Sus scrofa: one gene and its partner. The protein of the gene in region 1 purifies or fractionates together with the protein of each later gene. This does not show direct contact. Links are inferred from orthologs where the notes say so. Each region holds a gene or a part of one and is shown on either strand. Other genes may lie near its edges.

The links. The genes of interacting proteins can lie anywhere in the genome.
Region 2: the proteins of PCMTD2 (region 1) and CUL5 purify together in Homo sapiens (affinity purification with mass spectrometry; 4 studies listed by BioGRID and IntAct, counting the BioPlex papers as one, with this or other methods). This does not show direct contact. The link is inferred for Sus scrofa from reciprocal best matches to the Homo sapiens genes PCMTD2 and CUL5.

What each region holds. Positions count from the first base shown.
Region 1 is NC_010459.5:63,035,759-63,039,276, reverse strand, and holds part of PCMTD2 (protein-L-isoaspartate O-methyltransferase domain-containing protein 2), read right to left. Parts: intron 1,723-3,518; coding exon 1,620-1,722; intron 557-1,619; coding exon 385-556; intron 1-384. UniProt on the Homo sapiens protein: May act as a substrate recognition component of an ECS (Elongin BC-CUL5-SOCS-box protein) E3 ubiquitin ligase complex which mediates the ubiquitination and subsequent proteasomal degradation of target proteins.
Region 2 is NC_010451.4:36,454,290-36,457,807, reverse strand, and holds part of CUL5 (cullin-5), read right to left. Parts: intron 1,682-3,518; coding exon 1,536-1,681; intron 1,454-1,535; coding exon 1,373-1,453; intron 1-1,372. UniProt on the Homo sapiens protein: Core component of multiple cullin-5-RING E3 ubiquitin-protein ligase complexes (ECS complexes, also named CRL5 complexes), which mediate the ubiquitination and subsequent proteasomal degradation of target proteins.

The sequences.
Region 1 (3,518 bases):
GATTAACTGGCTCATTTACTACAATCTGATCTTCCCAATGAAACAACATCTAAAACGTACAGAAACAGGCACGGCCAGACCGACTCGGACAAGATTCCCACCACGCCAGAGATTCTGCGAAGAGTTGCCATCGTGGATTTAACAATGAGACTAACAATCAGAGTAGAATTACTCCATTAATTTCCATACGTGTAGAGTGACACTAAGGCCAGAACAAGCATAAGAGATTGCTGTGGAGGGCGGTGCAGGAGCAGGATGAGGTGGAGAGGAAGGGCCCGGGCTCTCAGGACTCCGCCCCAGCGCCACTGTCCCTACAACCTACACCTGCCTTTTTCCTCCCTGGAGACACGGAGGGAAGGTTACGAGGGCCTCGAGGAGTCTGACCTTCTCCTCCAGTGGCATGACCAGAATGCCTCCGACTTTGAGGAGGCGCTTCATGTACGCCTCGTGCTCCTTCTGCACGCCGGCCCCACAGTACACGCGGTCATACTGGGAGCAGTCCGGGGAGATCTCCAGGCAGTTGCCAGTAACAAAGGAGGGTTCACAGAAGTCAAACCTGAAAACAAAAAATGTTTTGCACAACTAAATGCATCACATTATGACGCGTCTACCGAGTAAGTCAATGGTAGACACAGCTTGTGTTTTCTCTCTACGATCCCACAGCAATGTAGTAAAATTAGAGCCAGCAGCTAGATGCCAGGCTTCAGAATTATGCTGTTAATAAGTAGAACCCTAGAATTTCTAGATAAAATATTATGTAAATCAATATCATAAGCATGATACAAGCTTCAATCACCCAAGCTCCAGTCATCACTATCTTTGCTCTGTTCTTATTAACTTATTACTTTCTATATTTATTATTTCATATCTTTATTATCTTATCTTCTATCTTTTATTCTATTTCCCACTCAAGGTCTACTAATCAAGTGAAATGAGGGAAACATATATTTTTTTTCTAAAAATTTTAATCCTTAAAATAAGAACTTTAATACCTTATTTTATTTTTTTTGTCTTTTGTCCTTTTAGTGCCACACTAGCAGCATATGGAAGTTCCCAGCCTAGGGGTCGAATCGGAGCTGTTGTTGCTGGCCTACGCCAGAGCCACAGCAAAAGATCCAAGCCGCATCTGCAACCTTCACCCCAGGTCACGGCAACATCAGAGCCCTAACCCACTGAGCAAGGCCAGGGATCGAACTGCAACCTCGTGGTTCCTAGTTGGATTCGTTTCCGCTGTGACACAATGGGAACTCCAATGCCTTATTTTAAAATGGCAAGAGCTAGTTACATACGGTACCATTTAAAGACAAATTCCAACAACTCGATTTTAGAAGCAAGTAGGTGATAAAATGTCTCCATTGTAAACATAAAAATTGATCAAAATAAACTATTTCCTTCCCTTATTATACTGGTGAGAAATTACCTTTACTTAGGTATCAGAGTTAAACTTAAGGCCCTTAAAAACACAAAATACTTTCATTAGAACAGACCACTGACTCTCCTGCCACAGTTTAATCACATTTGCTGGAAAAGGAGGAACACTAATAAACTGACTTCTTTCCATTTAATCCAAAGTTTAAGTTATGACTGACACCCAGACCCAGAGACAGGTCTGACCTTACTTGTCAAAGCTGTCGCTTGTCTTGATGAAGAAGTCGAGTTTCTGCTTTGCGTACTCAATCACATCCGAATGAAGTTCCACCCCGTGGTTCACACCAAAAGGACCTAAGGTTTCAGGATAACGTTTAGAATTAGGGCAAGAACTCCTCTTTATTTCTACTTCACTGACGGCCGTACATTTTATTTGGCATGTGTAAATACAGAAATTCATGCTATGGGGCCCAAATCACCCAACCTAATCTTTTTTTTTTTTTTTTTTTTGTCTTTTTGCCATTTCTTGGGCCGCTCCCGCGGCACATGGAGGTTCCCAGGCTAGGGGTCCAATCGGAGCTGTAGCTGCCAGCCTACGCCAGAGCCACAGTAACACGGGATCTGAGCCGCATCTGCGACCTACACCACAGCTCACATGCAACACCGGATCCTTAACCCACTGAGCAAAGGCAGGGATCAAACCTGAAACCTCATGGTTCCCAGTTGGATTCGTTAACCGCTGTGCCACGACGGGAACTCCCCAACCTAATCTTTAAAAGTGCAGGCCAGCCTCTGCTCGCATCAACACTCCCTATGACATTACCGACTCCACGGCTTCCTAAAGCCTGAACCGCTGTGTTCTCAAACTTTTAAAGAAAAAAATGTAAAAAAGCCCAAGGTTCAAGATGTTACTAATGAATTAAAGAAGAAACATGTATTTGCACATGAGAGTGGACACAGGCCTGTTTTCCATCAAAGTTCTCCCCCGACACTGAGATGTGGTGTTGAATCCTCTCAAAATAGATATTAAACACCACCAAAATCAACTAAATTCCAAAGTCACAACAAAACTTTATCACAGGAAATTTATCAATGATTCTGCCGCATAGCACAGGGCCCTCTGATCACTTGTGATGGAAAATCGTGGAGGACAATGTGGAAAAACTGTACATGGACGTATGGCTGGGTCACTTTGCTGTGCAGCAGAAATTGACAGAACGCTGAAAATCGACTAATTTTTTTAAAAAGGAAAGTGATCAGTAATTGGAAATAAAGCTGTGAGAAAAGTTAGGAGCCAGTAATGACAGAACGGTTTCCTCTACTTCCAAATGCCTCTGGGTTAAACCTCAGTGAGAACCACAGACACAAATAGCCCGGGTGAGTCTGCGTTGTGAGAACTCATTTGCATGAAGCTGTGCCAGAGGGTCAGGGCGGCAATGTGTCCCTTCCGGAGGGGTGCGGTCCTGCTATGGGGGGCGCCTTGAGAGTCTCTGGAGCACAGTCTACCCTGCACCTTTTTCTGGATGGTGCACGTGGGACGTCACCAAGCTCCACACTCGCACTTGAGGATTTACTACGGGTAAGTCGTCAGTTTTAAAAATCTTCACGTGAAAATGAACAGGGCATGTAGGGCTTTATGTAGAAGAGTTATTTATTTAGCTACCCACTGAAGTCACAGCCCAGAGCTCTCCCTACCGTCCCACAGAAACACCAGTAAATACGCAACCATCTGTGCAAACACATCTTTGCATTTGGCCACTAGGGTTCACCTGCCTCTTTCTGCTGCAGTAGCCCCACCCCGGCCAAGGCTTTCCGGTCCTCCACTGGGCAATGCACCTGCTCCCCTCCCTTAACACCTGCCACACAGAGAGCTGCTCAACATTCCCTCCTCCAAACACCGCCTACCTGAGCAGCTGCACGGCCACTGTTCACATCATCAGACCCAAATTACCCTGTTCTCTATCCCCACCACTGTCCTGGTCACTTGCCAGAGAACAAGAACATGGCCCTCTATTTTCCCACTTGTCACATTGTTCATGAGCTTCTCCCCTCTGGTTAGACATTTATTAAGGACATAGCTCCCATTCCCAGGAAGCCCCACATCAAGCAGAGTGACAACACACATGCCCTGACCATCTCCCATGACAAGG
Region 2 (3,518 bases), on another chromosome or scaffold:
AATTTCTAATACCCAATTCAAACCTGAAGATTCTTATCTTCATTACCAAAGCACACTAAAGTCACTCTCCATGTAAAAGAAAACATCAGGATGGATACTATAGCATGGCTACTACCTCTAATCATTTTTCTAAAATAAGGAGCTTACAACGTAAAATCAATAAAAACTATATAAAAGACTAATGTTCTTCTATCAAGTAATTAATATTTTTATCTCATGACAAGAGGAAGTTGGAAAATACCCTCCCGTAACAGGAAGAAATATCCCTTAGTTATAACGGTTTGGTGCTCACTATTCAGCATTTGCAGCCATTATTTTATAAAACATAATTACCATGAATACTGAGAATCAACTATATCTCTTGGGAGTATATTTTATTTGCTACATGAAAATCACTAAATGGTTAACTTTTATTTATTTTTGCTTTTTGATTTTTTTTTTATTACTCAAAAAAAGCTTCATTTTTTTAAATTTAGCTTTCTGACTCTGCTTGTGCTTTCAACACTTTCACAACAATTTTCTGCTCCTCAATAAGGAAAGCACGCTTGATCCTGTCATGCACACACTTAGCACACATGGAACCACCATAGACCCAGCTGACATGTTTTTTTGTTTTTGTTTTTTGGTTTTTGGTTTTGAGAGTTGCAACGTTTATTTCAGGTTCTCTCTCTTTCTGGATTTTTTTTTTTTTTTTTTTTTGCCACACAGGCAATATGTGGGAATTCCTGGACCAAGGACTGAACCTATACCGCACAGCAGCAACCAGAGCCACAGCAGTGAGAACGCAGGAGCCTCAACCCACCAGGCCTTAGACAATCTCATTAAGAACTTTAGGTCTCACAGCACGAACCCCTCAAAGTCGGCCTGGGCACACACCACATGGCAATTTTGGTGCTTTCCCAACCTTCTTGGTATAAAGGTAAATAATTCTATTACCAGAGGTTCGAGACATCCTGATTTTGTTAGAGACTGTGTTGTAGGACAGTCTATAGACAGTATGTCAATTGCTGGACCATTGTGAATGCCTCTGGATACCGTCCCCAGAAGAGATAACATCGTTAACTTTATATATGCATGAAACATAACAAAAAGAGACTGATTAAAAATTAAGTACTGTAAATACAGAAAAGTCTACAGCAGGGATAGCAAACAGATTTTTTAACACATCAGCTCTGAAAAACAGAATTATGAATAAGGTGCCTCCTGAAGCTGTTCTTTGGCTCACTGGGAAAGAGTGCTAACAATCTATAAGTAATACTGGTCACAGAATCTGAGAAAGGAGAAACAATGTTACTTGCATCATGTATTTGTCAACCCTCAGCTACTGTGCTTTAAATAATCTCAAAGAATAAACAATTACAAAATTACTTACTGCTTCAACAGAGTTACATTCTCGTCTTGTTTCTAAATAACGTAGTGCTCGTTTTTCTTCTTCTTTTAATTTAGCGTCTGCCTGTCCAGAAGCAAAATAGCAATCATTTAAAGAATATCAAGAAAATAGCTCAAATTTTCACATATACTAAATTCTGACTTACATATTTCATATAATTCTGTACACCATTTTGTTGTAAATACGAGGGTGCCTGTGTTCTATAAAATCTCTCTGTTGAATCCAAGTATGCCTTCTCAAAATTGTCCCTATAAATTTGAAGCTTATCCTCTGGATTAGAACAAAGGTTAACTGAAAAACAGAAAAAAAATTTTACTCTAATTATGATTCAAATCAGTATTTTGGTACAATAAATGCAATAACAAATACTGAGGAGTCATTATGTTCTATGGATTGTGACAATGCTCAAGAGAACACACAGTCATATAAAACAAAATTCTTCACTATAGGAAACTTAAAAAGAAAAGAGCATAAGAATTTCTGCTGTGGCTCAGTAGATTAAGGACCTGACACTGTCTCTGCGAAGATGTGAGTTTGCCCCCTGGCCTCACTCAGTGGGTTAAGGATCCAGCATTGCTGCAAGCTATGGCATAAGCTGCAGATGTGGCTTGGATCCTGCATTGCTGTGGCTGTGACATGAGGCCACAGCTGCAGCTCCAATTCAAACCCTGGCCTGGGAACTTTCATAGGCTGCAGGTGTGGCCCTAAAAAGAAAAAGGCACAAAGCAGTAAAGTGACAAAGAGTATAACTAACATGAACTATTTTATTTTTGAAGAGAATGACTTCTAACTGGATGATCAAGAAACCATTTGCATGGAGTTCCCATTGTGGCTCGGTGGAAACTAATCCAACTAGGAACCATGAGGTTATAGGTTCAATCCCTAGACTTGCTCAGTGAGTTAAGGATCTGGTGTTGCCATGAGCTGTGGTGTAGGTCGCAGACGCGGCTCAGACCCCGAGCTGCTGTAGCTGTGGCGTAGGCAGGCAGCTGTAGCTCCAATTCGAACCCTAGCCTGGGAACCTCCATATGCCATCGGGTGCGGCCCTAACAAGCGAAAAAAAAAAAAAAAAAAAGAAAAAGAAAAAGAAAGAAAGAAACCATTTACAGAAAGATGGGATTTGAACTGAATCTTAGGAACAAACTAGTATTTATATTGATTAGTAAAGTTAATATTCAGAAGTAGAAAAACACAAGATCAAATCAAGGTATAATAACTAGGTTGAGTGGACTGCAAGGTTAATAGAAGATAAGGTAGAATGGTAAGTTAGGAATGGTTATGTAGAACCATTAGCATGGTGTACCAATAAATGGCTAAGAAAAAAATCAATAAAATGGTACTTAAAAATTAATCTTATGACAATATATGCAGGTTAAATGACAGGAATAACATCACAGTAAGAATACTTTCAAAAGTCTAGACGTTGAATTTAAAAGTCTAAACTGGTGGCAACTGAAATAAAAAGGAATAAATTTCAGGGACATAGCTAATGAAAATCTACACTCAATACCTAAAGAAATAGGGGAGTTCCCGTCATGGCGCAGTGGTTAACGAATCCGACTAAGAACCATGAGGTTGCGGGTTCGATCCCTGCCCTTGCTCAGTGGGTTAACGATCCTGCGTTGCTGTGAGCTGTGGCATAGGTCACAGACGCGGCTCGGATCCCACGTTGCTGTGGCTCTGGCGTAGGCTGGCAGCTACAGCTCCGATTAGACCCCTAGCCTGGGAACCTCCCATATGCCGCAGGAGCGGCCCAAGAAATGGCAAAAAGACAAAAATAAAAAAATAAAAAAATAAAAAAAAACCTAAAGAAATAAAAGGGCAATAGAAAAATCAAGTCAAAGATAACTAAAGATTAATTAACAGAAAAAATTCTTACTGCCCACTACTTTGTGTCAGACATTTTGTGTTCAGTAAAAATATAGTGTCAAGAACACAGTTAATTACAAGTCTTACAACAGAAAACACAGTTGTGATGGAGCACCTTAACCTAGTCTGGGAATTAGCAAAGGCCTCCATTTGTAAACAGAGGATGAAGATGAGTTAGAAGACAAAGGCACGGAGTTCCCGTCGTGGCACAGTGGTTAACGAATCTGACTAGGAACCATGAGGTTGCGGGTTTGGTCCC